Drosophila melanogaster: one gene and its partner. The protein of the gene in region 2 purifies or fractionates together with the protein of the main gene of each other region. This does not show direct contact. Each region holds a gene or a part of one and is shown on either strand. Other genes may lie near its edges.

Region 1 (5,245 bases), on a different chromosome or scaffold from region 2:
AAATCAATTTGTTTGAGACAGCTGTTGTGCTGCGCTAATCCAAAGTCTTGAACTTTATCCACATCTAGTGGATGCTTAATTAAGGCCGTCGACTTGGTAAAAGCCAAAAATTAATAAACGCAACACGTGCAGCGATTTTGTTGGCTGTTTTGCGAGGATGTTTTTTCTATTTTCCCTCAACACTTGGTGGGTGGATGGAACGCCAAGGCCTCCTGGACATGGGCAATCGCAAAGTTTGTCGAGCAAGGCGCTTTGAAGTCTAATAGGATTAGTTCGCACAAATGTGGGCGTGTCTGTCTATGACAAATAAACGCCCTTCTGCGGCTGTGTATCTGTATTTCTTTGCTATAAATAATATTCAATATTGCTAAGCAAATATTTGGCATGCGAATATTCCTAGACGAGGATTTCTTATATCAGTAAATATTTATCATATCCATGGCTGGCTTGCTTGAGGCCAACGAAAACGAGTAATCTCTGTTTTGCCTTGAAAAAGTAATAAATAAAAATCTGTAAAATTCTTTGGTCTCCCCGGGTGGTAAATTGGGACTATTAGATACATTATAAGCTTACCAAAAGTTTCTTGGCTAAAGCTATCTACCCACTGCATTCATTAGGTGTCAATACTCGCTTGTATTACTGCCTGCACATATTACAATACATTTATTTTTGTAGAGTGTAATTAGAAACGATAAAACACCACATAAACGCGCACAAGTTTGGTTAGTTATAAGTTAATAGCAAAAAGTGTATATGATTCCAAGAGTTTTCCGTTTTCAAGTCCGTTTCCATTGATTCTTAAAATCATCTCTGTTAGTTGGAGCAATCATCTAGGCCTTGTCAATCACACGATCATTGAAGACAATCCTTAAATCGGTCTTGGCCATGTTGCCAAAGGCACCGACCAATTCGGTGAGATTGGCATTGGGCAGGCGCCTATCGAAGGGATAGCCCATGGTGCGTCTGTCAGGATACAATTTGTCCTTCAGACCACAGAACGAGTACGCCGTGCTGCAGGCATCGTTGGGTCTAATGGGCGACAAGGAGAATGTCAGCTGATGATGGGAAATTGGGTTTATAGCACTCACGTTTTGGGCTGCTCAACGGAGTCCTGCGAGTAATCGGAAATCATGACGAACAGGTCGAAGACCATTCCCTGGGCATTGCCCTTGGGCAGCAGGAGATGCTGTGGCCACCCACATCCGCAAAACTTGAAGCGTGCCAACTCATCGGCGGCCTTGGGCTGATAGTCTGCTCCAACCGGGCGGAATGAGCGCTCGAAGGGAATGGCCACCGAGGACTCTGTCGACTGGCGGCGTATGGTGTTCTCACCAGGCACCACTGGGGATTAATTAAAGTATGTTAATAGATCGTAGGAGGTTGTCAGTAGGGAAAAGTATAAGCTAAAATCACTGGCTAGCTTTGTACGAAAGAAACACTTTTTAAATACCAAAATATTAAATAAATATATATACTAAGAAATACAGTTATTACTCACAATCAACTGTGAACTTGTCCATTTCGATGGCCAACAGTCGCTGCTCCTCCAGATTCAAAGCCTGATTACGCTCATCCACCTTGGGGCAGATGAAGATACGGCAAGTACCCGTTCGTCTGGCTCCATTATTGGTCACATTGAATGTATAAGTGAAGGGGGCATTCTGGAGATGGGTGAACGAGGCGAATATGTTGCGATCGGTCGTTGGTCCAAAGTCCAGGCCAGCTGCCAAGTCGGCACTCGACTTCTGCCAGTAGGTCAACAGGGTGTTGGCCTTGGTATTGGACTTGCCAATCTTGGCCTCAATGTAGTCCACGGTAATACCATCGAAGTTAAGCTCACCGGCATTGTACGGGTTCAGGCGAGTCTTGAATTTGTTGAACACCGTGTCGATGAATCCGTGCCACCTGTAGAAGATTGGATCCCTCATGGCCGTGGTCACATCGCCCATCACACCGAATTCCTCCAAGTGACGGTAATCGGGATCGTGGGCAAAGGAGATTATGTTGTGCCCCTCGTTGTGTAGATTGCCATAGAAATTATAGTTGATGGATAGGACTGGCGATGCCTCAATCATGTTGCCCAGGATATCGATGCCACGAACTTCGTCCAATGGTATACGATTGCCAGAAGACTATGGATTAGCAAATAAAAATTTCTAGTGCTTTCTATGACCTATGCTCAATATTCCAAACGGGCCCAACTCACATCTTCAACGTATCCTTGATCTATGGCAGCCAGCACGCGATCACGCCAGCGCTCCACATCGGAGATCTCCACACGCCCATCATGGCGGTCCACGTCCCTCAGCTTTTGGTTGGTCACTCGGGCGGGATAGGTGCGGTTATTCGTGCTGGACAGGATCTTGGGGAAGTAGCCCTCGGGAACCTCCACACGCAGATTGTTCAGCGGCTGAACCTTCTTCAGATTGTTGCAGAAGCGCTCCACATTGTAGCGCGCGAGTATCTGGTGGTGCATGTAGTAGAAGAGCTCGCCACGACGATCCTTGTTGACCACCTCCGTGGGTCCGGTGGTCGGGTAGACCAAGTGCCAGTGCCAATGATGGCTATTAACACCGATGTCCTCACGGAAGTACGCCAGGCGCTGTTCATCCTCGCGATCCGAGGCCGTGTAGTTTTGCGGAATGTCCACATGGACACGAGCGCCGCTCTCTCCAATAACAGAAGCTTCCTGACGGGCATCCTGTGGTCAAATTTATAAATACACCATTAAAGACTTTGATTGGTCAAATAAAGAAGAACTTAAACGAACCCGGAAGGCGGAAGGTTCTACAAAGTTGCTCGGAAAGATCTGGGAAATGTTGGTAATGGGCACTTCACGCGTATCCGGGCGATGGGCAACGGCGACGGCATAGGCGTATTGGAACAACACAGGATTCACACGATCCCTAAAAAATTAATACATTATACAATACATATATATTTATTTTAGTACAAGTACTTACTTGGTGTAAACGGAAAGCGACACGAATTGTCTGAGATTTGGTGCGCTCATGAAGAGGGTGATCAGCTCGCTGGCGATCTCACGATGGCGATTGTTAAACAGCGAAAATTGATTCTTGAGACCAATCTTTTTGGTGAACTCCAGACTGGGAACGTTGCTCAACTCCTGAATTGGGATCTTCAGATCCACGTCCTTAGAGAATCGATTGCCCACCTCCTCGGTGTCATTGCGATAGCGATCCGTATAGAAGGAATCGGGCAGTTCCAATACAGTTTTTCCGGAGTCACGAGTGGTGAATGCCGGTTCCAGGGGTCGCTGGAACATAAGTTCCAAGGCTTTCAGATCCGTGTTAGTCATGGTTTTCTCTATGGATGTACACTTTCAACTACACTTTTAACTTCACTCAACGAAGCCAGTTGCAGAACTGTGATTTTCCCAGGAAGCCGAACTCATTTTATAGCTAACTAGCAGTCCGAATATAAAAATAATATTTTTAAAAATATTCATTATCAAGTCCCAACCGCAAAACTGCAATGGTCGAGCCTTTTTTCTCACAAATCCAAACGTTGTGGTTTAGTCGATAGCTTCTGAAAAAGCAAAAAGTGCAATACCGCAAAAGTTGTTGAGCCGCAAAATGATAAGAGAAATACTTTTAATTGCTTGCATAAAATAATATACCATTGTTGATTTTCAGTTGAATGTTGTTAAACGTGAAACTGTATTGAGCTTGTTAGATACATATACTGATTTTTTTTCAATACTGCACTGCCTAATGTATACCCACAACCAATTAATTGTTTTCAACTTTTTGAAGAGTTATTAGTTCCGGGGTAGGAAGCTTAAATTGAATTTCTTTGTCTTTGCCGAAAAAGTATCCGAGAAACCTTTTTGCGACCACGCGAAATACAACTCCCAAAGTAAACAAGCCGAAGGCCACCGGAAAAGCTTCTTATTCGCATAGAAATAACACCGAATACTTGCTCAACAGGCTGCCACGCCCCCTTAAAAAGAACCGCCCATCGCCGAATGGGAGGCCATAAATTTGGCTTGGAGCAGAGGGCTCGTCCTTCGACATGGCCCATAAATTTGGTTTTTGAAATGGCAGTGTGTAGCTGAATGTAACTAAGAACTAACTGGCAAGAGAGCTTGGATGATTAAAATATCTATACTGTAAATCAATTTTTGTCGCTACGCCGTCTGGCCAAATGAACGATGTTGGCCAAAAAGCAAAGCGAATGGCCAAACTTTTGGCCATTGTCAATAATAAATGTTTCTGCCGACTTTGGCGTTGAAATGTGTGCGCATTAATCTGTGAAATTGACAGCAACAAAAACGAGCGTAACAAGTTTGCATAAATGTGCGGGTTTCGGGCGAAAATTGAAAAGATGAATTTTCACAATTTCTGCACTCTGGCCATAACAACATGAAAATGACTTTTCTGCTCGACTTTGTTTTGCTAATGTCGATGTTCCAGCAGATACACCATCTTTTCAGTTTATGAACTATGTACGGTAAGCAATGTAAGCCAAATTTGACTACCATCAATTGAATTTTTGTTTGAAATAACTTAGGCAAGAATATTTTATACGATTTTTTGTAGATTCTTTTAAACCATGCATACCACTTATGTATGTAATATAGTAATATATTGCAGAGTATATTGAAGTTGGCTTTTCCTAGAAAACACTTGACTGCACGCAAACATTTATCCGAGCAATGTAATTTTTCATTGAATATTCAACGACAGCCATGGCAAATGTGCTCCAGATTCCAGCCCAAAAGACAAACTTGCTTTAATTAATTATAAATTGTGGAAAAGTGTGTGCTTCTGCGAACTTGGCAGTGTGAATTGAATTAGAATGAAAATGGGCCAAAGCAAAAGCTTTAGGCCAGGACACGTGCAGAGCCTGCTTTCACCGGCGAAACAGAACAAAAAAAAAGGAAAAAACCCAAACTTTTACCAACAAGTCTTAAAAACCACGCAAGTTTGTAAAAGGCGCCAAGCACTCTTTCTGTTTGGCTTTATGGGCGAAAGTCTGGTCCATAAAATGAGCTGTGGGTATGCGTTAATTACCCGCTGGCTTAAATTTTACATTTTGGCTTAAGCACTCTGCGGCCAGGTTCGAAAACACATGATGCCTCCGCCCCAAAGAACATTCCAAACTATTCATTAGTTGTGGGCCAACCGCAGGAATTTGCGGCAGTGTGTTATCAAAATTTCGAGTGGGCTACGCTTTCAATTGTTTGCCCACTTGGGCACCAAACTGATTAAAGTTTCATGGC
Region 2 (6,107 bases):
TCAAGATAGACGCCCTGATAAAAATCTCAAGTGCACTGACCTTGATCTGATTGTTTAGCTGATTATAAAAGAATTGTTTCTCTCACCTCTAAAAATTATTTAACACTATTACTATAATTAATGAAAAGGAATGACAGCATATTATCTAATTATGAAAACAGCAATAATTTCTATACGAAACAAGATCTTGAACAATAATAATTGAAACTGAAGTTCTCGTGTACTTATCATATGTGCTGATATGATAGCGAAATATACACGCCTGTTAACTATTATGGTATAATAGACTGTTCAAGTTCGCTCTTGAGATAAGAAAAGGCCCATTAATCCATACGGAATTACTAAGCAATATGTGCGATACTATGCAACAGCTAGACATCTTCTAATAAATGGTAAAACCATTGAAATTGATTAAGAAACTGAAAACCATAAAATGGCTTATTGTTCTTGAAAGTTGCCAATCACAATCTGATATGATCACGTGAACTTCATAAACCATTCAGGCCATTGTAAATATCCACTTGATAATCGAATTTCGTACTAAGCTCAACTATCAGTGCTTTATCGATGCCATTCCTAGAATCGCGATTAGATTGACCAATGCAAATGTGTGTCAACCAAGCTATAAACCGATCAGTTAAGTTTCCCAACCGCGGAACTTTGAACTTTTCTCACCAGGGGACTCCATTCAGCCCGAAAATTCCACAGTATAATCAGTTCTATTTTCGATCTATGATGAGCACACAATCTTTATTGTTGATTTACGTCACTTTACTGAATTTATGTTTAATACTTGACCACGTGAGTTATCTTAATATAGCCTGAATAGCAACAGAGCCATCGCACTGACCAGGATCGTGGTGATGGATGAGGTCAGAGAGGGACTGCCGTTCTCTTTTAAGGAATCCTCGATCCAGTTGAGCACTGGATCACGATTAACTTCCAACCAAGCGAAGTTGGATGTGATTCTGGAGTCAATGGTGGTGCTCAGATCATCATTGATATAACTCGGTCCATCAGCCTCCACAACATCCACCAAAGCGTTAAGCTGTCATATAATTAATAAATAGTAAATTAAAAGTCTGCTTTGAATTATAAATTAAAAAAAAAAAACGTACCCTCGTCTTTTGCTTCTCACTGACCACATAGGTGGCAATGCCACGCAGGGCAGCATCCAGGGGCTTTGCAGAGTCTGAAAGGTTGGCATATGCCTCCCAGTTGCTCTCCAGGAATTCCAAACTAGCGGTAAGACCGATTTCACTGCGGGAATAGGCCGAGTTTAGAAGGGAAGTGCGCTCCGAGTAGCTCAAGCTATTGTTGGTGTCCAGGGATAGTCTCAAGAAATCAAGCAGCTGGCTCGTACTTCCAGAGCAGCCCAACGAGGAGATGAACAGGCTGCGATCGGTGGAATCTGAGGAACTGAGCAAATCGGACTGCACTCTGCTATAGATTTCATTGGTAGTCGATCGGAGACCAGCACAGTAGGCTTGAGTCTTTAGAGTGGCCTCAATGGCTGTGCCATTGTATAGGTACTCGGATAATTTATTGGCCGACTGGTTATAGCAATCATCGGATCCCACCTGGCAGGCCAAGCTGACCAGCACGATGCGCAGATAGTTGTTCAGATAATGCTCGCCGGGAATCTCGTTTACACCGATTTTATCGAAGATGGGATCGATCAGGCGCTTCACGAAATCTTGGAAGTTGTAGTAAGAATCATCGCCACGCAAGTAACGATCGTAGACGGTCAGAATAGTGTTGGCAGTGGACCAAGGAGCATACTGCTGCTCATTAGTCAGGTAACCCAGCAGCTCCAGCAGGATGCTGTGGCTCAGGCGATCGGTGCTGACAAAGATGTACGTATCGTACAGCAGTTGTGCCCTGTTACGAGGATGGAACCTCCAGGGCTGAGACTTCAGAGCTGCCGTAATTAGACCATAGTTCTGCGTATCGTACAGGGTGCGGTAATAGCCGGAGTTCTGGATATTCACGATTATCCAGTCATCGCTGGAAGCCTCGACATCTGAGATCACGGTCTCCGTCACATTTAGCAAGTAATGTGTGGCGCTCGTGTCACGATAATCGTACTTGTTGGCAGTGGCAAAGTTAAGTGGCACATACCAAGTTGCGCTATTTGTATCAGTTTTGTTCGCCACATAACGCTTCTGGGTGATCGTTATAGTGCCGGCATTGTAATTACGGGTCACTGTGAGCAGGGGATAACCAGCCTGGTGGGACCAGCTACTGAAGATGTCGTCCACACTGGCGGGCAGCGTAAAGCCCAGCTCGTCGGCCGATTCCTGGAAGGACGCAAATAGATCCCATTCGTCGCAAGATGTATATTGGCTGAGCGAAACAAAATAATTCCAATGTGAGATTACTGTTCAAATTAAAATGAGGGCTCTTAAGCCCAGTATATACGAGTATATCATAAAGTTAGCTTTTTAAGTTCTTGAAATATTTTAGATCTTTTGATTAATCAAAATTCTATACTCTATACATTAGAAGTTCATATATTAGGTCATTTAAGTAATGGCTTGGTACTCACTTCTTGGTCAGGTATTTGTTCAATCCAGTGCGGAATACCTTGTCCGTCCAAGCGTTCTTGAACATGTACAGAACACTGGCGGGCTTGGCGTACGAGAAGGTGTTATACCTGTTGGAGATCTCCGATGGTGTCTGAACGTAGTGCGTCATGGGAACGGCCGAGGCCAGGGCGTCGTTAAGCAGAGCGCTGTTGTAGTCGTTCACGTGGAAGATCTGATAGGTGTCCCACAGTGGGAAAGCAATGTCGTTCGATTCGTACGAGAAGAGAGTAGCAAAGCCCTCCTTGAGCCACAGATAGGTCCACCATTTGATAGATACCAAATCGCCGAACCACATGTGCGCGTACTCGTGTCCAATAATATTGGCAATGTTCGTCTTCAGGTTGATCGTGGAGTTCTGCTTGTTCCACCACATGTACTGCTCACGATAGGTGGCCAGACCCCAGTTCTCCATGGCACCGGCAGAGAAGTCCGGTATTCCAGCTTGATCTAGCTTGGGCAGGGCGAAGGGAACCCCAAAGTAGCTAGCCAGACTGGACTCCACAAGCAATCCGGACCAAAGGGCCCATTCCTGCTGATCCTGCTTTCCCTTGCGCGAGAAAACCCGCTGGCGGATGCCATTCAGTTCTCCGGTGGTGGACTCAAAATCGGAGACGATGAAGGCCACCAGGTAGGTGGACATCTTTGGCGTCGTCTGGAAAGCAGTGACTCCCGAGCTGGAAGGCGAAACCGTCAGTATGTTAGCATTTCTTACATGAAAAGTATCGATTGCAATTGTATCTAGCATTGTCAACACTGCGAATGAGTAATGTTTCCTCTATGCTTGTATATATATTCGTAAATCATACCTGGTGGCAGCGGTGTTTACTGGCATATTGCTGATGGCAGTGTAGGAGGGATCATGGTGGATGGTAATCGTAAAGTTAGCTCTACGGGCAGGCTCATCGTAACAGGGAAACGCGTGACGGGCGTTTGTGCTCTCGAATTGCGTGGTGGCCAAGAAGCTGAAAGAAATTGTTATATACATTAACGACTCAGTTAAACCGATAATTAATCTTTATTTGGTAAGCGCGTATCATCGTACTAATAACAGATTATAAAGATAAGCCAAATTGTGTCTCTTGATAAGAAATGAAACTAGCCGCAAGTACTCAATCAGGTACAATTGTAATTAATAGCACGATAAGCTTTTGTACTTTTGCAATTTATTCCCTCATCCATTAGAAGGCTAACCTAAGTATAATTTTCTATAAAGGTAAAAGGGTAAAGGCTGTGCAAGCTCATAATAAAATAATGGTATTATTTTGTATAGTCTTCGTAAAATATCAACTTACTGCTGTTCGCCATCATCGTCCGTATAACTGGAGATATAGAAACCGCCCATATCAGATCGGTGGATGCCAGTGTAGTTGATGGTGATGGTCCAGTTGGTGTTGGCTCCAAATGCCTCACCAGCGGTGGTCTGCGTAAGGACGAGGAATTCGCGCTGCAACTCGGGGGTTACAGTGAGTGGAATTGCCGTGGGCGTGGCCACATCCCGGCTGATAATCGTCGCTTCAAAATTCGACGTCTGGCGATAGTGAAGCGTAATATTCGATGTCTCGTTCAAAACCCGGATATCGATATTGACGGTGCCATTGAATTCGGTATCGCCATTATGGACATTGGTCCAGAGTTCCACGTTGTAGGACTCCGGTTCCGTTGTATTTGGCAGTCGGTAATTGCCGGCACTATTATCATCCACGCGGGAGGTGGCAAAGAGGGCTGCTCCCTTGGTCTCCAGCTGTCCATCGTCCAGGGATAAGGGAAGGATCAGGCGCGCCTGTAGGCTGCACACTGCCAGGAGCAGGATCAGCGAAAACGAGTTAAGCAGCCACCGTGCCATGTTGGCTGCTCGGTAAAAGACACTTTGTTATTGAGCGGCCGCCGCTTGAACACGGCATTTTTATGGACTTGGCCATATCTAATCCTCAACATCGATCGCCATAAAGATTGTTGCGCAATTCTCGATAAAACGTGGCAAAGCCACGGTTATTGGCCCAGAGTGCACTGGGACAAGTCAAATGTGAAGTATGATTGGGCTGTAAAACAATTAGTCTACGAGAGTTTTGAAGATGGTACTCTATAGTGTAAAAAATCCCCTCGGTAACATTTTAATTATTCAGTAGCGTAACGCTTATCAAAATAAAGCAGGATAACATTACTTTTTTGTTAATCAAATTCCTATTATTAGTTTCATCATTAGGAGCAGTAAATTTTTGAATTATGGCTTCGTCTGGGACGACTAAGTATTTGAAAGTACGAAAAAATGCAAGTTGTTATAGTGCTATAATCAAAACAGTCATAAATACTCGTGAAAAACGCTAATAAGTATCAATTAATTTTACGAGGTGCTACATTTTAAATATATCAAATTTGTATGCTTTAATATTCAGTAATCATTGTACAAAAACTAACAAACTTAAGTAATGGCTTTGTTCAGTTTTGTATATTTTTATACGACTTATTGAATGTCCAAAATTGTTATAAATTTTTCAAATTGCTTTTTAATGGCCAGAAATACCCAGAAATAATTACTAGTCTTTGCGTAAAAAAGTTATAGTCATTTGATCGGGTTTTTATTATCGATGACTTTTGTGTTTTATACTTGCTTATCAATTCCCCACGGAGGCGTTTCAGACAAATCGATAACGTCTGTAGTTAATTTAGAATGTGTTGAAAAGCTCTTGGCTGTTGAATGAATTGACTCGATTGTTTTGTTTTGAAAAAAATTAATTTATTCGTAATTAAGCCTGTACTTATGTGATACCTAGTTAGACCAAATGTCTGGTCACCTATACATATCTACTATTCGTAACGCACTGCGCAACACCCTAGTCGCCTCCTTTAGGACTCCTTGAGGACGACTTGACCCATTGGCCGCGCTGAGGGAGGCGGACAAAAGGGCATCACTTCTGCTGGTCGCCTGAGGAAGCTCATTGAGCAGCCATTTGTGGATCTGCTGCTCGAACTTGTCCTGGAAATTTTCGGTGATTTTCATCTTTTTGCCCACCAGCGGAGAATCGACCTCGATCAGCGTTTGGTTCGTATTAAGACCCTCCTGCATCATGTGGTTCGCAATTGTCTGGCGTAGCCTCTCAAACTGAAAAGAGATATGTGTGAACAAAACGAGTAGGATATGAAATAGATATAAACTCATTACATGTGATCTCTGATGTCTGGGCACAAATCCAGCGAGCTGTTTAAAGTGCTCTAAAAAGTTTGGTGCTCGACAGAGCACCTTGTAGTTGCGCTCGATATACTGCCAGATGACCGGACGAGAGGCCAGATTCGACTTGTATATGTAGAGGAGATACATCAAATCTTCGAATTCGGAAAGGACCATATGGGTGGAGTTTTCACCCATCAGACCTTCCAGATAGTATAACAGATGCCGATGACTCTGCGTGCACCGGAGGGCATATATAATGTCATCATAGTATACCGAAGCTCGATCTATTTCCTGCATCATATCAATTATCCTTTGGAAGTCCTGATCGCTTAGATACCGAACTCCCATGC

The links.
Region 1: the proteins of CG31343 (region 2) and PPO1 purify together in Drosophila melanogaster (affinity purification with mass spectrometry, with the first as the bait; one large-scale study listed by BioGRID). This does not show direct contact.

The regions. Positions count from the first base shown.
Region 1 is NT_033778.4:17,886,582-17,891,826, forward strand, and holds PPO1 (prophenoloxidase 1), read right to left. Parts: upstream 3,393-5,245; 5' UTR 3,320-3,392; coding exon 2,964-3,319; intron 2,907-2,963; coding exon 2,771-2,906; intron 2,702-2,770; coding exon 2,207-2,701; intron 2,133-2,206; coding exon 1,499-2,132; intron 1,342-1,498; coding exon 1,089-1,341; intron 1,030-1,088; coding exon 831-1,029; 3' UTR 639-830; downstream 1-638.
Region 2 is NT_033777.3:21,743,629-21,749,735, reverse strand, and holds CG31343 (uncharacterized protein), read right to left. Parts: upstream 4,471-6,107; 5' UTR 4,432-4,470; coding exon 3,881-4,431; intron 3,551-3,880; coding exon 3,395-3,550; intron 3,263-3,394; coding exon 2,549-3,262; intron 2,347-2,548; coding exon 1,119-2,346; intron 1,049-1,118; coding exon 812-1,048; 3' UTR 733-811; downstream 1-732. Other genes in the region: CG5849 (uncharacterized protein), read right to left, coding at 5,377-5,688, 5,749-6,107.